Linked DNA regions of Nothobranchius furzeri. The protein of the gene in region 1 purifies or fractionates together with the protein of each later gene. This does not show direct contact. Links are inferred from orthologs where the notes say so. Each region holds a gene or a part of one and is shown on either strand. Other genes may lie near its edges.

Evidence for each region. The genes of interacting proteins can lie anywhere in the genome.
Region 2: the proteins of ehmt2 (region 1) and znf644a purify together in Homo sapiens (affinity purification with mass spectrometry; 3 studies listed by BioGRID and IntAct, with this or other methods). This does not show direct contact. The link is inferred for Nothobranchius furzeri from reciprocal best matches to the Homo sapiens genes EHMT2 and ZNF644.
Region 3: the proteins of ehmt2 (region 1) and cbx5 purify together in Homo sapiens (affinity purification with mass spectrometry; 3 studies listed by BioGRID and IntAct, with this or other methods). This does not show direct contact. The link is inferred for Nothobranchius furzeri from reciprocal best matches to the Homo sapiens genes EHMT2 and CBX5.

Annotation. Positions count from the first base shown.
Region 1 is NC_091759.1:8,520,599-8,524,246, forward strand, and holds part of ehmt2 (histone-lysine N-methyltransferase EHMT2), read left to right. Parts: intron 1-499; coding exon 500-620; intron 621-1,011; coding exon 1,012-1,092; intron 1,093-1,881; coding exon 1,882-2,021; intron 2,022-2,221; coding exon 2,222-2,365; intron 2,366-2,447; coding exon 2,448-2,758; intron 2,759-3,648. UniProt on the Homo sapiens protein: Histone methyltransferase that specifically mono- and dimethylates 'Lys-9' of histone H3 (H3K9me1 and H3K9me2, respectively) in euchromatin.
Region 2 is NC_091751.1:71,531,705-71,535,848, forward strand, and holds the start of znf644a (zinc finger protein 644a), read right to left. Parts: upstream 2,819-4,144; 5' UTR 2,680-2,818; exon of another isoform or gene 2,619-2,679; intron 1-2,618. Other genes in the region: probable ATP-dependent DNA helicase HFM1, read left to right, coding at 3,998-4,068.
Region 3 is NC_091755.1:25,772,012-25,776,439, reverse strand, and holds the start of cbx5 (chromobox protein homolog 5), read right to left. Parts: upstream 2,819-4,428; 5' UTR 2,681-2,818; intron 2,211-2,680; 5' UTR 2,159-2,210; coding exon 2,031-2,158; intron 1,815-2,030; coding exon 1,574-1,814; intron 566-1,573; coding exon 465-565; intron 1-464. Other genes in the region: heterogeneous nuclear ribonucleoprotein A1, read left to right, coding at 3,767-3,778, 4,254-4,370. UniProt on the Homo sapiens protein: Component of heterochromatin that recognizes and binds histone H3 tails methylated at 'Lys-9' (H3K9me), leading to epigenetic repression. In contrast, it is excluded from chromatin when 'Tyr-41' of histone H3 is phosphorylated (H3Y41ph).

The sequences.
Region 1 (3,648 bases):
GGATAAGCAAATGTGGTAAAACAGATTTAATTCATGTCATTTAAAGATGTAAAGGAAACAAAATTAGTCCTCCAAAGGGGCTGATTCTGTTCTTCACCCACCGTGTGAAAGAGTGGAAAGATTAAAGCCGTTGTTGGCAAAAATGTAAAAAAAATTCCCGTTTGCCAGGATTTGTTTTGGGAAGTAATTCCCAAATCTGGAGTTGGGACCTCACTGAGAATCACCAGGAGCTTCACCGGGAGATAACTTCCAGAAATCAAAGTTAAATTGAAAAACATTTGTTGAAGCTATACTTGGAAAAACTCAACTAAATAGTCAGATTCAGTTTTTTTTTTTATATAAAATGTTGAGTATGTCGGTAAGATTCTACTTTGTGTTGGTCTATTGCAGAAAACATCAATAAAAAACGTAGTTTGTGGCTAGAAGGTGTCAAAACGTGTTCAGTTTCTTTGCAATAAATCCTAGTTTCAGGCATAAATACAAAGTTTCTGCTTTGCAGAGTTTGGAGTCTGAAACGCTGAGAATCATCCGGAGTAGGAACGAGACGGAAGAATCTTCTTGGCTGCTATCGGATCAAGACCGAGACGGAAACTCTGCTGATTTAGTGGAAATAGAAGAAGGCAAGTGATCGACGTTACATTTAGTCCTTTTAAAAAAAGATTTCATTTTATTATAACGAAAATTTGGCCGTCACATCTGGATCTACATGTGTTTAACTGGTGTGTGTGAGACGTCATCGTAGTGCTCTTCATGTCTGTAAACTCTGATAAATGACCTGTAGGGTTAGAGGCGACACATTTTTTTTACAGTAAAGTCCTTAAGTATGTTTCAGAAATAGAATCTATTATCCAGACAGAGTTGTAAGAAAATGACTACTGCCTACATTTTAGGCCTTTATGATGTTCCACCCATTCAGCTGGTAACACCTTAAAACCGTTGAGGCGCTTGCACAGATTATGTTGCATCTGCAGCTTTCCTCGCCAGTTTTATAATTTAGTTCCTCCTCAGCAGAAAGGTCTGGAGAGTACACGGAGGTTCCTTTGGGTGCTTTGGACATTGCTGCAGCTGACAGTCTGACTCTTTCTCCTACCGGTAACTAAGTCTCATCTCGTTGTTCCTTTTAAGAAAAGTGGTAAATGGCCTATATTTGTATAGCAGGGTATCCGCGGGTCCTTAAAAAGTCTTAAATTTGCTTTTCCAAATTTAAGGCCTTGAAAATCCTTAAAAATGACAAATAATACTTAAATCCAGTTTCCAAAGGTCTTAAATTACCAAAGACCCAATAAACAAGATTATTTTATTTCTATAAAAATTTTCGTGAATTCCTAGTTGGTGTTCAGCATTTTTTGTGTACGATGTTGGCGTAAGCGGAACCGTACACATTCAGTTGGTTGTGAAAGGGGGCTATTTTTAGATGAGCACATTAGCTGGTTAAGCTAGTGGGAGCTTGCGCCATGGGAAGTGCAAGTTTAATGGTAACTGGATGGTTAATCCCACGTTCACAACCGGTTCCAGGCAATAGTTGGAAATTATAGCTTAAATTTAATTTTGAAAATAGCTTAAATTTGGTCAAAGTGGTCTTAAAAAAGGTCTTAAAAGTCTTAAATTTGGCTCCCTTAAACCTGCAGATATCCTGTATAGCACCTTCTTAGGGTTCTACAACCCCCCCCCAAGGCACTTCACAACACAGTCATTCACCCATTCACACGCACTTTCACACACTGGTGGGATGAGCTACAATGTAGCTACAGCTGCCCCGATAGAGGCAAGGCTGCTGAGCACTGGCACCAGCGGTCCCTCCGACCACCACCAGCAGGCAAGAAAAGATGCTTCAGTGTGATTAAGCTGTTTGAAGCTAACGTCCGTCGCCTTCCTGTCCAGCAGAGGGAAGCGATGCCGGCGACCTGGAGCGTCTGGAGGAGCTCCCCTTGTGCAGCTGCAGGATGGAGGCTCCCCGTGTGGACAGCACCAGCCAGCGGGGCAGCAGACAGTGCATGGCCACAGAGAGCATCAACGGAGAGGTTGGTCTGTGTTTACCCGTTTGCGTTAACTAGCAGCTCCCTGGATGTCCAGTCCTCCGTGTGAGGGTGTAAAGGCAAAACCAGTGAGAATCTGCCTAAAATTCCAGATAAACTGCTACCTGTGCTACAATCGTAGAGAAGCTAGAAGTCTCAGATTTTGTCTAAAGGGTTTAAAACGTATTCATATTTCTGCTTGTTAGCTGCAAGCGTGCACCAGCTGGACCATTAAATGGGAAACCATGAGGCCGTCCAGTCGGGTCCCACTCATGGTGCTCTGTGATGTCCATCGCTCTCACATGGTCAAACACCACTGCTGCCCCGGCTGTGGATACTTCTGCATCGCTGTCAGTGTTCTCGCTTGATGTTTGCTCTCTTTCTATTTCTCCAAGTTTTCTCTTTCATATGTTACTTCCTTTTTGTTTTCAGGGCACTTTTCTGGAATGCTGCCCAGACCAGCGCATCGCTCACCGTTTCCACCGCGGCTGCGTGACGGTGCTGAGCGGTGGGCGCAGCAGAGCGAATGGCGGCGGCATGCTTTTCTGTCCTCACTGTGGCGAAGATGCCTCTGAGGCGCAGGAGATCACCATCCCCTCCTCGGCTTCCGCGACCACCGTCGTCACCATGTCGGCCTCCTCCACCACGACTCCCTCTCTTCCTCCGTCGGTCCCGATGGCTCCCTCTCTCTCTGCCTCAACAGGAGGAGCGAAGGATGGAAAGATCCCTGAACGACCTATTAGGTAAGATCAGATCATTGGACGGTTGTTCATTTAGCAAAACTCACATTTTGATTCCATTTGTGCTGCCATGCGGGTCTATTGACTTAAACACTCCAAACATGAAAAAAACATCCATCAGTTTTCTGTCCGCGTTTGGTTTAAGGAGGTTTGTGCCGAAACTAGGGTTGTCACGATACTAAAATTTCAAACTCGATTCGATACTGGGGGGGGGGGGGGGGGGGGGACTCGATACTCGATACACAGTAGGACAAAGGTACATCTACCGGTAATCTTAATAAAAACAGATTGGCGCACGGCAGTGACGTCATTAAAAGCGCCGGTTAGATTAGCCGCGGCTAGTCTGTTCACGCCTAGAAATCCCAGACCCGCTCCAAACGAACAGGGGAATCACGTTAATTATTCCTAAAAAAAACTTTCGACATTGAGATGTTTTGGTGCAGATAATGTCTCATTTCGAGGCTACACCATGGGTGCCCGTCCGCACCCGTTATATGGATATACGCTGATGGCGATTCGCCGATGGATCTAAATACCCCGGGGAATCCAAGTAGCACCAAAGTTGTCAGCGTGAGTAAACAAACGTACTGCATGCTAGAAATGAAGTCCGGGTTGCAATAAACGGGAGTTTCCTTTAAGCACATAAGCGTGAATATACAACTACGTGTCGGACTTGGTATGCTAATGAAGTTGGGCTGTGAAACGCCTCCCAAATTCGCTGTTTATGTTTTTGTTTATTTATTTGGCAGACAAAACTTGGATCGGAGACAACTCGCGTTGGAAATTGCAATGTAGCCATGCGGCGTCTTCTTCTTCTGTTTGTCTGGGAGGCGGAGGCTGCTTTACGGCATCTGGCTGTCGTGCGTGTCGGTGTACTTGAAGAAGGCTGTGTA
Region 2 (4,144 bases), on another chromosome or scaffold:
TTTTCAAAAGTTGAAAGGTGTGGGCGTGGCTAAGCCTCAAACTTTGACCTGGCGCCACGCCACTCTTTTTTTCACAGCTCCCTACTGGACTCCTTTTACCCAATCAGCAGGAATCTCTGTTAAATAGCAGTAGACAACTTGAGGTCACTTGGTGTCCAGTACTGGCAGGTTTCAAAAAAAGGCGGGGCTTTGGGAGCATGGCGAAAATCGCCATCACGCCATGGAAATACGTTTGCCTCTCATTTCTTCAGTTATCGTGATATCGCTACGGAACTTCTGGTGAGTGATCCTAGTCTGACCCCCAAGAGAAATAGACAGCTGAAATTTGTGGGCGTGGCCTATTTTCTTAAATAGCGCCCCCTACGACCATTAAAACTGTCAGCCCCAAGCCATGCTTTGACTGAGGATTACGAAATTTGGTACACTAATGTGGTGTCTCAGGACCTACAAAAAAGTATCTTGGAGCCATGTGCAAAGTCGCACAGGAAGTCGGCCATTTTGGTCCAAGTACGCGATTTAGTGGTTTTCGCACACGTTGTTTGGAGAGTGATGCTCCGTCGCCCTTTTCACCAATGGCCTTCAAACTTCTGCTATATACTCTTAAGACATAGAGGAAAAAATTCAACAGTCGGATTTTTCAAAAGTTGAAAGGTACGGGCGTGGCTAAGCCTCAAACTTTGACCTGTCACCACGCCACTCTTTTTTTCACAGCTCCCTACTGAACTCCTTTTACCCAATCACCAGGAATCTCTGGCTAATAGCAGTAGACAACGTGAGGTCACTTGGTATCCAGTACTGGCAGGTTTCAAAAAAGGGCGGGGCTTTGGGAGCATGGCGAAAATCGCCATCACGCCATGGAAATACCTTTGCCTCTCATTTCTTCAGTTATCGTAATATCGCTACGAAACTTCTGGTGAGTGATCCTAGTCTGACCCCCAAGAGATAAAGACAGCTGAAGTTTGTGGGCGTGGCCTATTTCCTTAAATATGGTAAATGGCCTGTATTTGATATAGCGCCTTCTAGAGTTCTTGAAACCCCCCAAGGCGCTTTACAACACATTCAGTCATTCACCCATTCACACACACATTCACACACTGGTGGGGGTGAGCTACAATGTAGCCACAGCTGCCCTGGGGCGCACTGACAGAGGCGAGGCTGCTGAGCACTGGCGCCACCAGTCCCTCCGACCACCACCAGCAGGCAACGTGGGTTAAGTGTCTTGCCCAAGGACACAGCGACAGACTGAGCGGGGCTCGAACCTGCAACCTTCCGATTACGGGGCGAGCACTTAACTCCTGTGCCACCGTCGATCGCTAGATTCATTAAAACTCTGCCCCAAAACACGCTTTGTCCGATTGATGCCAAATGAACAGAAAAACATCTTGTCAACCAAAGCTGACCTCAATGGGATTTTTCTGTAGTTGGTCACAGCACACCCTAGATAACTTTAACCTACAATAACTTCAAAAAACGTGGCCAGAAAAGCATTACAGGTGGTCTGTGTCATCACACCACCCGTGTTGTAAAGATAGAGTTTGCCCTATTGGTGAGACGTGTAATATAATGGTGGGCTCAGAGGGGATGCTGAGTCAGGGTGAGGTGTGGAAGAGGTGATCGTTAGCGGTTTCTGGTGTCGGGGTGGCTGTTGTTTCTGTTCCGCGGACGTGCCCTGGTGCGCCGGGCTGCCGGCCAGGCCGGAGCAGCGCGGAGCTGCGAGGGCGAACGACGCTGCTTGCAGCTTTAATTCCCATTTATATTTTATGTTGCTATAACAAAAACGAAAAGGATATATTTAGTTTATAATTTCTTGAATTTTTTTACTTAATGTGGCAGTGTGAGCATCCTGTCACAGTGTCCCAATTGATCATGCACCCTGGCTACTTGGCCAAGGGGATGTCCCTTTGGCTGACTGGCCAGAGCGTATGACTCTCACCCGGGAGTCTGGGGATCGAATCCCACCCGGGCCCTCGCCTTTCCACCCTGCCACATTAATACTATTTTGAATGCTCTTGCAAAATAAAATGTGCATTTTGATTAAGTGATCTGTGGTTGAAGCTTCTGAGGTAATTCTTAGACTAATACGTGTTTATCACCAACAGAACGCCTGAAGCCAATGCAAAATAGAACCGACTTTTGTTTATTTATGGCCTATTATAAACCTACAAGGTCGATGGAGTGAGGGGTCTTGAATTTGAAGGACATTAAAAGTGTCATGCCAGCTGAAGCGGTGTACCCCTGGAGCAGCAGCACTAAATCTGCTAAAGAATGGACACTGAAAATGGCTTTTTATGAGCGCTGGTGAATTTTGTACACAGCTAAAACTTTCAGCTCAGGAAGAGTTCAGTCGACTCACTATAGTTAGGATGTACTATGACATGGAACTACTTTCAGAGCAAGGCTGACCTAAACAGTTGCGCTTGGTTGGTATATTAGCTTCTCTTCCACGTTTAAAACACGCTGTGTTGTTGGATGCTGCTTGCAGGATCTGCAGACTATTCCATTAAGGCTGTTCCACATCAAAACCTTTTCCTAAGGCTAAACTAGAGCTAACGACAACAATCCCTCGCGTTTTTGCTATTCACATGTTAGTAACACGACAGTAAACAAACCAACGTTACCTCCGAGCAGTGTGGATGAAAGCAGATGAGAAGTTAAACGCTGCATTTAATATTTTCTTACTTTCGTCTTCCATCTATTTCACAGTCGCCATTTTCCGTGGTGGTCTGGTGTGGGACAGATCATTTTGTAAGGGTGTCACACGTCCAGTTAACCCCGCTGCTACAAAACAAACAGCCTCCAAAATTACGGTCTAAAATATTGAGGCTCTTTACAAAGATAGCCGCTGTTGACAAGTTACAGGACTAACCTCTTATGAACATTTCGCTACGTATTGTGACGCGGCGGCGCCATGATGCTCCCCTGAAAACCCAGTAATGGTTCATTCCAGATAGGAGGCATAAAATTCAGAGCTAATGACCATTTCTTTTGGCCAGCAGATTTTTTATATGATGGCGGATAATCATCGTTAAAATGAATAACATACAATGAGCGTTAAGATGCAATTTGGTTTGGACATTTCAGATGCAAACAAACAGTTGTTGTCGTTTATAGTTTGTCAGTAAGATGTAGACGGGAATGAGGGGATAAATGTTGATGGAGCCCAGGCTTTGTTGCTTTTGTGACCGGTAATTTTCCTTTTTAACCCCATCTGGCGTTTTTTTTTTTACCGGGAAAACACGGCCTGTTTAAATACTCTTTAAAATATTCCTTGAATCAACCTGCTTTAGGCAGTTTTCTATAGCAAGTTGTAGCCAGTGGGCTGTCTGACTGAACACACACTTGTCTGTCAAAATGAGCACGTTTAAATAAAGTTATTACAGATTTATGAGGTCAGCAGTCTCGAGCTGTTTGCTTTAGCCAAATTAGCTTAACTATCAAATGTAGTTGGGTAAAGCATTCAACTTAATTTACAGAACAGTGTGTTATAAACTTGCTTATTAGGTAAGTTCACAAAGATAACTTATAAAATAGCTCTGCCGAATTACCATATAGTCAAACTGCTAAAAACGCTCGATATTTGTGTTGTTAGCTTTTGGTCACTAGCATAAAGCTATCAAAGCTTGGTAAAAACTAGTTGTGAACGATTTTTTATTGAAAACATTTACGTCATAATTTGCCCTCTTTAACCACAAATTTAACAGTTTTTACAGCTTTGTCCTATCAGTCACTTTTCTAAATGTAACACCTGTTTAAAACCTAAAGGTAGGCTGTGCATGCAAACATTAAACAGTGGATATAGTTTAATACATCTAACAGCAACAATTCACCCACTTCCTAATGATGATGTAATTGCTTTGTTGAGAGGGTTGGATTTACACTGAAAGATCATGGGAGATTAATTTAGAATTCACTTTGTTCCTGTAGTCAGATGTTGCTCCACAAGATTCAAGTTGACTGATTTGATTTTGTGCTCTAACTGAGGAGCTTCTCTTAAGAGATGATGGACACAGATGACTGCACTTTGACCCTGGACAGATTGTTTTTCGAGAAACCTACTATTCACAAGGTGTAAGTACAAGCAGTGGAAAAAACATTGTTTTTAAATTCCAATTAAATAAATTTTTCTTGTTTTTCGGTTTCGGTT
Region 3 (4,428 bases), on another chromosome or scaffold:
TGGTGTTAAAGATTCAGGTTGTTAGACATTTAAGCTCATGATAGGACATCGTGCTGTGCTCTGGTGCAACAATTCTGCACCGTTTAACCAGTTCTGTTTTAGACATTTAATAGTTGAAAATGTAAGTACTTTATAATACTTAAGCATATTTCTTTGTCATACGAGAATGAATAGTAGTCCTCTTAGATCAAGTGTGTCTGAGATCCCCATACCCAGCATGTTTTAGTCATCTCACTGCTGCAATACACCTGAATGGTTGAATTACCTGTTCAGCAGGTCACCAAGCTCTACAAAGGCCTGTTAGTCCCCCCTGTGCTAGGTTAGCTTCTAATGTTTATGTCTGAGGAAAATTTTGTTTTACTACGAAATGGGTGCATTATGATTACCAAAGTGCATAAAAGTAAGTGCATTGTCATTATAACAGAATGAAGATCTCCCAAAATGAGTCTACCAGTAAAACTTACCACTTCATTAGAAACATGAGGTCTCCACACGAGTCGGTTGCCCCAATGATCTTCTCTGGCTCTAGGCCCCTCTCAAAGCCACGTGCAACTAGGATCTCATCCTGAAATGTAAAAAAATAAAAAATAAAAAATTAAAAATGCCAGCTGAATATTTGCCAAAGGGCTATTTCATTGGCCATAAATTCAGCAATTCTAAACACAGGTCAAATCTAGATATAACTTATATTATTTAATAAGTATAGGTGTTGCCCATCACCTGCCCATAAGTTAATGCATTATTGGTAATTCAAAAAAACAATTTATCATTTTCATCTCAAAATTATACATTTTACAACATTTAGCTAAAATATAAACAGTCTTTACAGAAATCAGTTCAGAAGAGCTAAGTACAAATGCTCCCACGCATACAAATGATTCATATCAGAATGAGTGCGTTTACATGCAGCCAGTAACCCTTTTAAAACCCGAATATTCACAATAACCCGGTTCCGCAGGTCCTTGTAAACACCGCCAAAAACCTGGATATGCTCATAACCGGGTTTTTAAAAACCCGGTTACTACACCTGGCGTAACCCTTTTCTAACCCGAATGTTTGGTCGTGTAAACGCATACCGGGATATCCCCATCAAAGCGTGTGTTCTGCACATGCTCTGTTCGCAAGGAATCTTGGTCTTTTGAGTAGCGAGACGTCTTGTATGCGCCAGAACACCGGAAGTAAACAACAAGTTGGGAGCAACATGGCGAGTCGCGGCACAGCACCACACTTTCGCAGTGACGAAGAAACTAAAGCACAAACAAACGCGGTCGCCGTCTCTTCCGAACTGGGAAACGTGTTGTTGTTTTCACGGATACCGGAACAAGAAGAACCGGAAATGAGGCATATTGCGTCTGGACGTAGTCCATATGTCTTGACGCTACCCCACCGTCCGCATTTAAATCGGGTTATGCAAGTTAGGGGTAACTCTTTCTATTTATTGTAAACGGGCTTGTAAACGGGTTATTCTGATCAACTCAGAAACCCGAATACCGACCTTAACCCGATCATAACCCGGATATTGGCTGCATGTAAACGTAGTCAATGAAATTCACCTATAATGAAGATAATTTACCTCTTTCTTCTTCTTTGGCTTACTTCCTCCTTCCTCTTCTTCCTCCTCTTCATCAGAGCCCTTCTTTTTTAAGCTGCTGGGATCTTTAGTGCGTCCAGATGAGCCTGTGCTTGATTTACTGGCCCCGCTGCTAGGTGTCGAACTACCACCGCTGCTGCTGCTTTTCTTATAGGTCTTCATGAACTCTGAAATAAGCTCAGGGCAGTCTAGATTCTTCTCTGGCTCCCATGTGTTGTGCTTGCTGCAGAAAATCACAGCACAAGTCATTGAAATGTCACGTTCATTTTTAAAAGGGTAATATTGTGTGCTCAAACCAGCTTCACTGATGCTTTTTGTGCTGTGTGTGTGTGTGTGTGTGTGTGTGTGTGTGTGTGTGTGTGTGTGTGTGTGTGTGTGTGTGTGTGTGTAAAACGGGAATATCAAGTCACTGACCAGTAAACAGGTACTTGGTACTTACTCAGAGTATCCTTTCCACTTAAGGAAGAACTCCACCCTGCCTTTCACCACCCTCCTGTCCAGCACCTTCTCCACAACATACTCTTCTTCATCAGATGAGGACTCCTCTTCACGTGACTTTTTGCCCATCTCGGAGTTGGGTGCTTCACACTACACTCTTTTAGAGTTCGATGGCACTTTCCTGTTCACGACGAAATCACAAACAAGCATCTCACAAAACATGCCATTTTTTCTCAGCGCTCGTCCACATGTAAACACATAAATTTAAGCTCAAGCTGCAGGTTTGCAACCATGAGCGTTAGCCACACAACGTGGTTACCGTGCATCAATGAATATCTTCATTTAATCTCGTTCTTCCCACTAGCAGAACGATAAGCATGGGAAAACTGCTAATATAATGGCCATACATGTGCATTTCTCGACATATGCCCGTTTGAAATAGTTATATGCGACCAGACTGCACTCACAGAAAACGAACAAAGCACACAGTTCAATGAAGACCAAGGGATTTGTCCTGCTAACTAACCCCAAACTAGCCAAAGGAGCTAGCTTACGTGCTAAAGCTATGCTATACTCGCTAATTTACTTATCAAACAACTACCCGATACTTGCAACAGCGTAAAGCACATTTACAAAAACGCAGTTTCTTACCCTCGGAGTGTATAACCCACTGGATGTAGGCCGCTGGTCGCAGGGACTGCTCCGTTTATCTAGAGGCAGCAGTGCAGCTAATGCAGCACCAGCGTTAGCATCTAGCCTGTAGCACATAAAGGTGCCGTGCGCAAAAAGCGCGCGTTAAAAACGCACAATGAACATACCCGCCCCCAGTCTGCTGGTGACATAATAAATGTTTAGAAAACACGTTCCTTCCTACTAAATTTTAACTTTTCTATAACGTTAACGTTCGGTTTATAAAATTGTAGTAACTTGCAGTCACAATAATTTACAAAATAAGTATACACGATAATACAAAATAAAAAAAAACACAGCATAAAGGGTTACAATTATTTGACTGAAAATAAAGAAATTAATATATATACGTCTACTTTGTTGTAGTAATTTATGTTTTCATATATTTTTCGTTTAAATCTTGCTGCATTTATTTATTTCTCTATGTTCATGTTATTTTCCCCCTTTAGTCACCACACACAAAGCCCAGATTAACTAATTTGGCTCATTTTAAATTATACTTTAGCATAAACTCTTCAAGAGTTGTACATTTTGCATCGGTTTGTTTGATTACGGGACATCTTGTGTACCAACATGCGAATGATATTTCCCGTGTTGTTTAGCCAGACGGCAATTTGTCTATCTTTTATATTGTTTATTGTCTTTCTTAGGCTCGTTTCGTAGAAAAAAGTTAATAAGTCGTTTTTTCAGCACCTTTTAAATGTGAGCATTCAATTTCTCTGTCAATTCAGATAATTTGTTTATAGATGAAGGCACATTCATTTTTGGCTTTATGTAATTTAGGTCGGCCATTTTTCTTCATGGTCGACAAAGGCGAATGCCTACTACGCAGTGAATGGTTGTTCGCATTGATTGACAAAATTTAGACCAATCAAAATACAGTTCTGATTGACGACACAGTACCGCGGGAACTACAGACCAATCGCTGAGGGGAAGAGGCGTTTCCGTTCCTATTTCTTGTACGTTCACCCTGTCGCTGGTCTTGTCTGACGCAGCTAGTTCCTCTGCGGTCGGTTCTCAAGGAGTCGTCAAGGATAAAGCGGCAAAATGTCTAAAGAGGTGAGTGCTAAACTTATCAAAGGATATCAGGCCGTAAGATTAATAGTTTGGTTTTGGGTAGTTTTATTATAGGTTGGCCATACTTGGTGTTGTCGACGGACTGTGTGCCGTAGCTGCAGAGCTTTCTTGAAGCCGCCATTTTATAGAAGCTGAGCCTCGTGGCCTTTTGTTCTGATGATGATCTGTAAAGGACATCAGTGGCTTCTCTTCAACACCAGTCTTAAACGATTATATCCCTAACACATTAAACGACAGTGAGTACATATTAATTGTGTGTTGGCTCTTTGAAAGAAGGAGTTCTTTGACTTTAGTCTGAGCGGTTCCTAAACTGTAATGGCGGCGGTGCGCCTTCTCCACCCTATCCCTGATTTTTGATCAAAGACGCAGAGTTTGATATAAATGGTCCACCGACAATATTATTATGCGGAACTATATTGTGCATTGCTTCTCCTATGACGCAAATATTTTTGTGCAGGTTCCACGTGAGCCGGAGCAGCTCCGCAAGCTGTTCATCGGAGGCCTGAGCTTCGAGACAACAGACGAGAGCCTACGGGCTCATTTTGAACAATGGGGCAGCCTTACAGATTGCGTGGTACGCATACCTTTATGTCTCTTTTTAAATGTAATGTAACGTTTGGTTGGTTGCTTAA